3 linked regions of the Cricetulus griseus genome follow. The protein of the gene in region 2 purifies or fractionates together with the protein of the main gene of each other region. This does not show direct contact. Links are inferred from orthologs where the notes say so. Each region holds a gene or a part of one and is shown on either strand. Other genes may lie near its edges. The genes, in order: Tgfbr2, Smad7 and Acvr1b.

Region 1 (3,647 bases), on a different chromosome or scaffold from region 2:
TTCTGTCTCCCTCTTCCCTCACTGACCCTCTGCACCCCAGGAGGAAGAATGATGAGAACATCACACTGGAGACCGTTTGCCATGACCCCAAGCTCACCTACCATGGCTTTACCGTGGAGGACGCCACTTCTCCCAAGTGTATCATGAAGGAAAAGAAGAGGGCCGGTGAGACTTTCTTCATGTGTGCCTGCAACGTGGAGGAGTGCAATGACCACATCATCTTTTCAGAAGGTGAGTGTCGTCTCTGGTTGCAGTCCTCCAGGGACGCCTGCCGCGCAGAGCGCTGGTGCACGCTGGGAGGAGATGTGTCCACTCCTCTGGAAGACAGAGGTACTCAGGAAGCAGTGGAGTCCATGCTGGCCCTCCACAAATTTGACTCCCTAGGGTTCTTTTTGGTATCTGGCATTGGCAAATAGTTTCTTTCTCCCAGAGCAGTGGTTCCTCAGGTCCATTCTCAAGGTAGCAGCAACAACTGGGGATTTGTTAGAAATGCGAATTATTATTATTTAAAATTTATTTTCTCTGTGTGAGTATGTGCACAGTGTGTGTGTGCACGCGTGTGCATGGGTGTGCCCCATGCGTGCATGCACACACATATGTGATGCCCAGAAGCCAACCCTTAGGTATTATTCCTCAGCCCCCATTCACCTTGCTTTCTGAAGCAGGGTCTCTTGCTTGGGGAATGATTAGGTCGGGCTGGCTGGCCAAAGATACTGTTCTATGTGGAACTGTGGATACATAATGAGTGTAGCCAAATATGCTATGGTGGTACTTTTAATTAATGAATTAATTAATCTGTATATTTATTTGCTCATCTTTAGATAGTCACTATGCTGCTTAAGTTAGCCTGTAATTCACTATGCACAACCCAGGCTGGCGGCAAATTTGGAATCCTCCTGCCTCAGCCCCCTGAGTGCCAAGGTTACAGGCATGATTACTCTTGATGTCGAGATGTTTCAAAACATTCCTTTCATTCATATATTATTTCTGTGAAATAAAACACACTTTAGAAAGCCCGGCTGCTGGAGCCTGATGAATGTGTACAATGGGTCAGCAGCTCCACCGTCCAGGAAGTACCTCTCAGCAACTCCCAATAAGTTCCCTCATGTCTCTTGGCTCATGTTCCTGCTGGGACTCTTATTTTTGCTTTTTAAAATGTTCTTTTGTTCTTCCTGTCTTTTCTGACTTCCTGTTAAAATGGATAGCCATGACACAAATCCTTTTAAAAACTGAGTGCTGCGTGCCCTCAGTGTCTGAGTGCATGATGTTACTGTGTTATTCAATCTCCAGATGCCCCAAACTCTAGACAGATTGATGGATGGATGGATGGATGGATGGATGGATGGATGGACGGATGGACAAACAATAAGATGGACAGACAGACAGGACAGACAGGCATATTGGCAGGTCTTTTTCACAGGTCTACCTGCTGCATGTCAGACCCTTCAGCAAAAGGGACAGATTACAGAGAGACCTTGTCATCCAGTCAGAAATCCATCGAAGCATTCTCAACTGGCAGCCTGCAGGATAGCTATGAATGCAGACCAAAGCAAGATCATGAACTTACTCGAAACTTTGTAGGGTGTGTTTTGTTTATTATTTTATTTTGTGTGTGATTGATCTTGTGGTTCTCCAGCGTGAGCTTTGTAGAAGACAGCATGTCAAAAGGCTAGGCATGCCTGGAAATGTCTCTGCTTATGCTGCCAGCACCCAGGAAGACAGGTTTCGTGCAATGCCTGGTAGCTTCAGGGACTCCTGCATTGGCCAAGGAAAAGGAGGATGAGAGAGTGTCAGAAGCAGAGGGGACACTCACCTGAAACTGCCCAGCCCTCACAGCTGTCCCTGAACACATCTCCCTTCCTGTCTCTGAAGATCTCTTCAGCAGCAAGACCTGAGAACCTACCCAGTTCTCATCTAAAATCAGAGTGCAAAGTAGAAGAGGGAGCATATGATGACCAGGTGACAGCCATCCACCAGGCAAGACGTGGTGGATGCCAGGACTGCAATGCAGTCTGAGGTGTAGGAAAAGAAAATGTGTTCAAGAGCAGTTGCCTTGTGACTGGGAGATGGCATGCCACCTTTGCAAGACATTTATCTATTTCATTTTCCGTTTTTGTTGTATGTGTACATGCGGTGTCTGTGTGCATGTGTTTATGCATATCTACACATGTGTGTGCACATGCATGCAGAGGCCCAAGGTTGACACTGATTGTCTTTCTCTATCGATTTCTACATGGTATGTTGAGGCAGACTCTCCCTGAACTCAGAACTCACGTTTGGGCTCACCTGGTTAGCCATCTTACTCTGAGGATTCCTGTCTCTGCTTCCAGAGTGCTGGGATTCCAAGAGGGTTGCCACACCCGTACCAGCTGGCTTTGTGTGTGTTTGGGGATCTGAACTCTGGTCCTTATGCTTTGAATGCAGCAAGCATTTCACCCCCTGAGGCATCTCTCCATGCCCCGTGCAAGACACCTACTAATCTCTGTATGAACTGCTAGGACCCAAAGGTGTTCACTGTCTACTCCTCTCTTTGTTGACTTCATTAGTTCATTTCTTACCTTTTCCTTTCTTCCTTCCTATCTAAAGTCTTATGTACCCCAGGCTAGTTTTGAATTCACTATATAGCAGAACATGACCTTGAACTCCTGATTCCCTTACTCCACCACCCAAGTGCCAGTACCATAGGTGGGCATCAGACCTTCCCAGCTTTTACAAGTGTATTCATGATCTAAACTGGGGTCTTTAAGCTTGTGCGGCATGCATTTTATCTACTGAACCACCTCCCAGCCCAGCCTTGTTTTTGAGAACAGGTCTCTTGATGGCCCAGAACTCACCAAGGAGGTTGGACTGCACACTGAGCCCCAGGGATCCATCTGCCATTGCTTCACTGGTGCTAGAATTTTAAGAGTGCTATCTGGCTTCAGGTATATCCTGGCATCTGGGTTCTCCAGCTGAGCTCTGGAGAGGCCCTGAGAACAACATCCTGATTTGTAGATCCCAAACCACAGGCACACTGGGAAGGCTCCCTTTGTTTTAATATGTGCCTCTTTCAGTCTCTCTTTTCTCCCCACATACCTTCCCCAGTCAAAGAGAACATGCTGAGTGTAGGATTTCTAATCAAAGCTAACCACAGCACCTACATTGCTGGATAATATTACAAATTAGGCACGTTGTTCCTGTTTTGACTTGGGATCACAGCAGGAAGCCGCTCAGTAACAGTGAAAGGGCTTGCAGTGCCTTTCAGATCAGTGGCTGGAGTAATCACACTCTGGGCCAGTCCCTTCTGCTTCTTTATTTCCACAGGAAGCTTGCTCGGGGGCTGCATGGCCTAATCTCTGCATGGCCATGCTATGCTTTTGAATTAGTGCTACAGTGGCATCTCAGGATGATTGTCAACACTCTAGAGTCCCCAGAAACTGCACAGAGAGCATCTTTATATAACACAGCTGTCCTAGTTAGGTTTCTATTGCTGTGACAAAGACCATCCAAAGCAAACTGGGGAGGAAAGGGTTTATTTGGCTTATATTTCTCATCATTAATTCATCACTGAGTGAAGCCAGGGCAGGAACTCATGGCAGGAACCCAAGGCAGGAACTGAGGCAGAAGCCATGAAGGAATGCTTCTGTTTGGCTTGTTCTCCAAGTGTG
Region 2 (3,747 bases):
GAAGACTTGAGGGAAGCAGGGTACGCCCCTCTACCCTGAACACCAAGATGTGGAGAAAACAGAAGGCATGGAAGAGCTAGGACGATAATATAGGTATAGGAACCTGCTCAGGGTCCCAGCTATGAAGGCCAGGCTCCAGGGCAATTAAGAAAAGGGAGACACAGGGGGCTGGGGTTCTAAGGACCACTAATGGTATGCTTTTCGGTGCGAAATAAAGGTAAAAGTAGGGGACCCAACTTCTCCAGGCTGTTTGCTCCTTCTCACCCTGTGGCTGGCATAGCTAACAGTGGATACCTAGTTCGGTCTCCATCCTACCACAGCCCCCAAACTCCAAAGCTGAGAGGCCAGGGCAGTATCTGGGCCACTTGAGCCCCACGTGACTGTCCTTATTTACTAAAGGAGAGGAGACTTTCCAACTTTTATAGCTAGTTTCTCCCAACCTTCCTTGGCGGGCTTGGACAGAATCCAACTCGGCCACACACCTCAACGCCTATCCGGGTGCGGGGGAAGCGTGATCCCCACTTCGCTCTGAATTCCCTTGCTGACCCGGAAATAAGTGTGTCTCATTTTCTGCAGCATGTCTGTTCACTATAAGCATAAACAGTCTCCATGGGTCCTCCACCAGAGGGTGGAGGCGGGAGATAGAATATGAAAGGGAACCCCAAAGAATGTCCGAGTTTCCCCTTGTCCCTTCCCTGATTTTATTTCCCTCCTCTCCTCCAGAAGGGGGATGCACACACACCCTGGGAATTCTACCAACACTTCCGCGCAGGAGGGAACGAAAGGTGGACACAGAACAACTTCTTACCTAGTTCGCAGAGTCGACTAAGGTGATGGGGGTTGCAGCACACCAGCTCGGGGTTGATCTTCCCGTAAGATTCACAGCAACACAGCCTCTTGACTTCCGAGGAATGCCTGAGATCCGGCCACCTGAACACTTTGCACAGCAGGAGGGGGAGCGAGTAGGACGAGGGCGGCTGCGCGGGCTGCGCGCTGGCGGGCGCCCCCGGGCCCAGCCTGCAGTCCAGGCGGCCGGGCAGCAGTAGGCACGCGGTGCGCGTACCGCCGCGGGACTCCACGGCCTGGAGCAGCAGCTCCAACTGCCGCTCCTTGAGTTTCTTGAGCACCGAGTGCGTGAGCGCCTTCAGATCCGCCTCGGCGCCCCCGGCCGCCCCTGCACCCGAGGTTGGGGGATGGGGATGGTGGTGACCTTTGGCACCTCGGACCGCCTTGCCCAGGCAGCAGCCAGCCCTGCCCGCGCCGCCGCCACCAGCCCCATAAGCCCGGCCGTCCGTCGCCCCTTCTCCCCGCAGCTCGCCTCCGCCGCCGCCGCCACCCCCCACGCCCTCCTCCTCGTCCTCGCCGCCTGGCGCACGGCTCCTCCAGAGACGCCGGACGAGCGCAGATCGTTTGGTCCTGAACATGCGGGGCGAGGAGGCGAGGAGAAAAGTCGTTTGCCGGCTAAGGAGCGAACATGACCTCCGCACACCATGAAGAAGTCGGGCGCCGAGTTGTGGCAGCAGGCGCAGGCGACAGCAGCAACAGCAGGGGCCCGGGCAAGAGCGGCGGCGGCCCGATGGGCGCTCCGTGGCATGCGCCAGTCTCCCGGAGGCCGGGGCGCGCGCGGGGCCCGGGGGCGCCCGCCGGGGATCGGGGCCTGCGCTTCGGCTGCCCCACCCGGCGCGGCCCGCGCCCTGCGCGGCTCTCGGGCCCCGGCGCGCCCCGGAGAAACGCGGCCGCCGCTTCCCTGGGGGCGGCCGAGACTGCCCCGGTGGACGCCTCCCCCAAAAGAGGCCCCCCTACAGTAGCTCCCGAGTGTCGGGCTCGCCAGCCTCGGCTTCCTACATGGAAGATCCTCGGGGGCAAAAAAACGAAAGGCGTTAGGCTGTGCTACTGAAGGGAGGAAAAAGCCTCTTTCCCCCTTGCTAAGCAACTTAATTTGGGGGTGGGGAGAAGCAGGCAATTAAAAAAAAAAAAGCAGGCACACGATTTATTTTTTTCTTCTATATCCTTAGTAACCGGATCTCCTCGAATTCTGTGCTCGCGAAGACTAGAGGGAGGGGGCCGAGTAGACTTCACCCCGCGTGAGACGTCTGTAGGGTCTCTCAAAAAAAAAAAAAAAACCCAAAACCAAATATGCAAAGCCCCCAATGAAAAAAAAAAAAAAACACACACAACACCTCCTGGCACCTCGGAGGTCTGGGGGCCACCGGATGGAGCCCGGGTTTAGAAGAGAAAATGTTTACAAAGTAGAACAAGATGTTGGAGGGGTGGGGAAAAAACGTATCCACGAGTTACATCCCCCCCTTTTTTTTCCTTGCAGAACCCTGCGGGTCTTCCTTTCCTTTTCTTCTGCCAAAAAAAAAAATCGTATTTCTTTTAATCCACAGAAGGGTCTGGCTAGGCTGCTTCAATCTTGCGTGTCTGGGTGTTTCAGAGTCTCTGGTCTTTCCTCCTGCGCTCCCGGGGGCCCAGGTCCTCGGCGGGGACTTCCTCGGCTCTGGGGAAGCAGGGACAGAAGATGCTGCGGCGGCGGCTGCGCCCCGGGGGGCTGTCAGCGCAAGGGAGGGCGGCGCGGCGGCGGGCTCCGGCGGGTCGCAAGCTCTCGCCCCCGAGGGCACAAGCAGCAGACTAGTGTGGGGGCCGCCGATGCCCCTTCCCCTGGTCGCCGGTGGCTGCAGAGGCTGCCCGAAGGAGCTACTGGCCCCGAACCGACTGTGGCGGCAGGAGGCCCGGGTGTCCTCTCGCTGCCTCTTCCTCCGAGACTCTCCTCGTCTCGCCCGGGAGCCTCCTCGTCCCCCGTCCGCCCTCTCCTGGCGCTCGAGTCCTTCTGCCGCCGCTGGGGGCTCGCCGCGCCGCACTCAGGGACTCCGGGGCCGAGCGCTCGGCGGCGTGGCGCCGGCCGGCTGGCTGGCTGCGTCTCGGGCAGCTCTCTCCGGCGCGGCGAGCGGACCGAGCGAGGCGCCCGGCTGGCTCTGCTGGCGCAGCTCGGGGACAAGATCCTCTGTGCGCCGATCTGCTAGCGAGTGTCGCCCGGGGCCTCACGCCGTCTAGACACCCTGTCGCTTTAAAAAAAAAAAAAGCGATTGTGTTTCGCAAACAACAGATCGGGTTTCTAAAAGCTATTTCAACCCCCCCCCCCCGTTACCGCCACCCTCTCTTAGGTCTGCAGAGGGGTACGCATGGGTGGAGGGAGGTGGGAGGCCGAGACAGCCCGGGGGTCGACGGAGACCCAGCGGGAGCAGGGGAGAAATCGGAAGAGCTGGGGGCATGGAGCGGGCGAGTTTGGAAAGGAGCGAGTCGGTCGGTGGCCCGATTTAGACCAGCGGAGCTCGCCCCGGCGATTCATTCATTCGATTTGTTTTAAGGCCCTGGCGGCGGATCCCTTGGAAAGGGGAGGAGAACGCTGTCTGTTTCAAAGACATTTACACCGGCCAGGACAGAGGCCCTAGGAAGTGTGCGCTAGAGGGAACAGCCGGGCGGCCGAGGGCGGAGAGGCGGCGCGAATGTGACCTCAGCGGCCGCCGTGCTCCCTCCCGCCCTCTCCCGCTCCGGGCTCGGGTTTCTAGGACTGCCTGGAGAAGTGTGTCTTGTGCACAGCTCTGGAATGCATTTGGCAGGCTGACGAGCAGCGAGGGGCAGCATCCTGGAGGGAGGAGGGGTGCTGCTCGCCTGTGCGCCGCCGGCAGGTTTCCTCCCGGCCGTTTAGACCTCCGGCACCCGCTACTGGGCCTCCCGGCGCGGGAA
Region 3 (3,647 bases), about 230 Mb from region 2:
CCTGTATTGTTCTCTGCCCTATTTTTTGAGATAGTCTCTCACAAAACCCAAAGCTCACTGATTGGCTGGACTAGCTGCCAACAAGCCTGTGATCCTCCTATCTCCACCCCCAATTCAATGCTAGTGTTACAGGAACATGTATCATGCCTGTAAGGATTCAGGCATTATGCAGGCCTGCCCCTGTCACCTGGCAGAATGTACTCAGGCAGTACCCTGGTCAGCATGCAGGTGCAAAGGACCCCTTTAAAAGAAAGACCCTGCCTACTTATGCTGGCTCTCTTTCCTGCTGTTCCCCTGGGCAGACAGGACTTTTCCTGTCTCCCTCTTCTCTTCCGTTCTGTCTCTGTCTCTGTCTCTCTCTGTCTCTCTCTCTCTGTCTCTCTCTCTCTCCTCTCCCCCTGCCCCTTTCCCTTTCTAATAAAACTTCTCACTAAGCTCTGTCTGCCTGGCATGTTTGTACCCCACCTCGGTCACCCTCACCTGCCATGGAATCTGCCAAGGTTCCTCACACTTTATCATATCATAACAATGTCATATTTTTATATGAGTGGTGGGAATCCGAACTCAGGTCCTCAAGTTTGCACAACAAACACTTTAAGGAAACACTGAGAGGATTGTATTTGATACTGATCACAGAGGTAATAATTAGAACACTGTCCAAAAGAGATAAGAGGCCTCTACCAGTCTTCCAAATCATAAAAATGAAATACACAGAGCTCTCATGGGACAAGGGGACAGACACCTGGCAGGTAATATACCTGTGACACAGAAATTGTGAGGTAATTGGCCATGTTTTAGAAGTGTCTGGCATTTGAGACACAGCTCTTGCTCTGTGTCACAATGACTTTAGAGGCTAGTTGCCACCGAGCCTGTGGGAAATGCTCAGCTTTGGTTTTGCTAAGGCAACAACAGAGCTCATTCCTCATGATGCTGTGGGATTGGTGATGGCCCCAGCTGCCCCCAAGCTGAAGAGTTGTGGGTTCAAATATAGGGGAAGAAGGGAGTGTGTCAGCCCTCTGAGGAAGCAGCTCCACTTCCAAATGTCCTAGAATCGTTAGAAGGTGCAAACCATCTTCTTGTAACAAACCAGTGGGCCTTCAGGAAGTAGTTGCTAGTTAAGAGTGTGGCCTTTGTAGTCAGAGGTGACGAGGTGCAGACATTTCCAGCAGTTGTTGTCCATTGATTATTATGTGAATTGTGACCTCGGCTGGTGCCGCCACATTAGGGTCAGGAGGAGGGAAGTCAGGCTCCTTTGTTTTTGCCTTTTTACCATGATCTGTGTAGGGTGATGCCCTGGAACTAGCACCAGCCTAGAATTTGGAAGCTCTTAGTCAGTCCAATTTCTAATCTTCCCAGTGACAACAGCGTAGCCTCATTTGATTCCTGGCCCTTTTCTTCCCTCCCTTCCTCTGCCATCCACCTTCCTGCTGCCGCTTGTGGAGAAGAGAGAAAATGCAATGCATGCTGTCCACCTTGCATTGCTTCTCTGAAGGACAAGTTGGGCTTCCCGGGATACTTCAGAGTGGGCTATTCATGCATGGAAAAGCATGTTTGGTTCTGTAACAGTACAAAGGAGATCTTCCTGCTGTCACCGTGGCTCCTAGCCTGAGGATGGCCATAGGCTGCAAAGAAACATTTCCAGTGAGACGAGTGCTGGGCTGGGTTATAATCAAAAGGTCACACAGCATTCGGGGAGGGAAGAGGCCTTTGAGGTGTTACTTCTTGGCAGTGGTGCGAGTAGCCTTATGAGCCTCACATCAGGGTTGGAACCTGTTGCTTTCCCTAATCACAGATTGTTCTTTCCTGGATGCCCCACATTACAAATTTTGCAGTAAAATGTTATATTGTTTAGAATTGTCCCTGCTTCTTTTCAGTGTTCCCAGCTGTCCCAGTCACTTGTCTGTCTGTAGTTTCGATAAAACACTACAACCAAAGCAACTTAGAGAAGAGTTTCCTTTGTGCCCACTGTTCAGAGTTGAGTCCATGATGATGACGCAGGGGCAGCAGGCAGCAAGCTGCGAGCTCACAACTTGAACTACAAGCAGAAGGGTGGCTCAGGACTTTGAACGCCTCAAAGCCTGCCCCCAATGACATAACTTCCTCAAGCAAGGCCCCACCTCCTAGGCTTCCCTAACAGCCACCAACTGGGGGTCAAGCAGTCAGATGCCCAAGATTATTGGGGGACATCTCATTCATACAACCACACTTGGATAAGGGAACAGGCCTAAAAAAAGTCCCCTGTCTTCCCTGGAGGTTGCTATAGGGAATTGGGCTCAAGGGGCAGCCAGAAATATAGAGGCAAGAAATGTAAATTCAGGGTCTTCCTGAACCTGGCATTGTTTGTTTACATGACAGGCCCTCTTCCTTATTGCTTACTGTTCCTTCTGTTCAGACCTTCTTTGTTTTCTACAGACAATGGCACCTGGACCCAGCTGTGGCTTGTCTCTGACTATCACGAGCATGGTTCCCTGTTTGATTATCTGAACCGCTACACAGTGACCATTGAGGGGATGATTAAGCTGGCCCTGTCTGCAGCCAGTGGGTTGGCACATCTGCACATGGAGATTGTGGGCACTCAAGGTGGGTAGTGAACTCAGCTCAGGAGCAGGAAGCTTGAGACAAAAGGCCTGTCCATCGCCATTTGGTCCTCCTCACTGAGGTCACTGGAGTCAAACTTTGGGAATGGTACTTTCATCTGAGAAACAGAGTGCCAAACTATCTGAGCAGGAACAAAAGCCAAAGGGGGTTTCTCCATTGGCTCTGTCATTAACCCTCCCCTAGGGAAGGTGTGAGGTGAAGGCTTGGCTGCTGTTAATATGTGGCACAGTGTGGTTTAAACAGCATGCTGGGGTGCACTGTGAAGGAGTGGAACTAAGAAGAGGCCTGCGCATCAGAAGCAGGAGTGTAGTAATCTCGTGCTGAGGTTGGGCAGTGACAAGACACGGGGCCCACCTCTCTGCAGGTTTTCCTGGAGAGGACCCAGGCTTTATGCTACATGGTCCTGTCCACTCCAGATACTGGAATCTCCCTCTAGATACTGGGCTTGCCCCAGCAACTTGGTTGACCCTGGGCAGTGGCTCTTACTAGGTGAGGTAGGAAACTAGCGTGGCAGTCAGGCCCTAGTGTTACAGGACTAATGGCACTCCCAGTCTTCAGCGCCATCAGCTCTGTGCGCTGAGTTGTCCACCTGACCCATGTGGGCTCTTTGCGGCTGGTGAGCGGTAGTGGTTTAGTGTTCAGTAATAACCATGTCATTCTGAGGCATGTCAACTCCTTCTGGGAATGCTTTATCCTCCCCACATTCCCATGAAGTGCCATTATTCTAATGTCCAGCTGCTCGTGGGATCACTGGCTTGTGGGAGGCAGAGCCAGGACTTGGCCCACAGAGTCTGGCTCAGAATCTATGCATTTTCCATGTATGCATCAACCTTAAATGTACCTGGTTTTGTCCCTGCCAGGGAAGCCCGGAATTGCTCATCGAGACTTAAAGTCAAAGAACATCCTGGTGAAGAAGAATGGCATGTGTGCCATTGCAGACCTGGGCCTGGCTGTCCGTCATGATGCGGTTACTGACACCATTGACATTGCTCCAAATCAGAGGGTGGGAACCAAACGGTAGGAAGGCCCTAGGCTCCAGCCCTCACTCA

What was found.
Region 1: the proteins of Smad7 (region 2) and Tgfbr2 purify together in Homo sapiens (affinity purification with western blotting; 3 studies listed by BioGRID). This does not show direct contact. The link is inferred for Cricetulus griseus from reciprocal best matches to the Homo sapiens genes SMAD7 and TGFBR2.
Region 3: the proteins of Smad7 (region 2) and Acvr1b purify together in Homo sapiens (affinity purification with western blotting; 3 studies listed by BioGRID and IntAct, with this or other methods). This does not show direct contact. The link is inferred for Cricetulus griseus from reciprocal best matches to the Homo sapiens genes SMAD7 and ACVR1B.

The regions. Positions count from the first base shown.
Region 1 is NC_048597.1:223,207,985-223,211,631, reverse strand, and holds part of Tgfbr2 (TGF-beta receptor type-2), read left to right. Parts: intron 1-40; coding exon 41-231; intron 232-3,647. UniProt on the Homo sapiens protein: Transmembrane serine/threonine kinase forming with the TGF-beta type I serine/threonine kinase receptor, TGFBR1, the non-promiscuous receptor for the TGF-beta cytokines TGFB1, TGFB2 and TGFB3.
Region 2 is NC_048595.1:164,565,400-164,569,146, forward strand, and holds the start of Smad7 (mothers against decapentaplegic homolog 7), read right to left. Parts: upstream 2,757-3,747; 5' UTR 1,425-2,756; coding exon 809-1,424; intron 1-808. UniProt on the Homo sapiens protein: Antagonist of signaling by TGF-beta (transforming growth factor) type 1 receptor superfamily members; has been shown to inhibit TGF-beta (Transforming growth factor) and activin signaling by associating with their receptors thus preventing SMAD2 access.
Region 3 is NC_048595.1:397,639,382-397,643,028, forward strand, and holds part of Acvr1b (activin receptor type-1B), read left to right. Parts: intron 1-2,412; coding exon 2,413-2,580; intron 2,581-3,458; coding exon 3,459-3,615; intron 3,616-3,647. UniProt on the Homo sapiens protein: Transmembrane serine/threonine kinase activin type-1 receptor forming an activin receptor complex with activin receptor type-2 (ACVR2A or ACVR2B).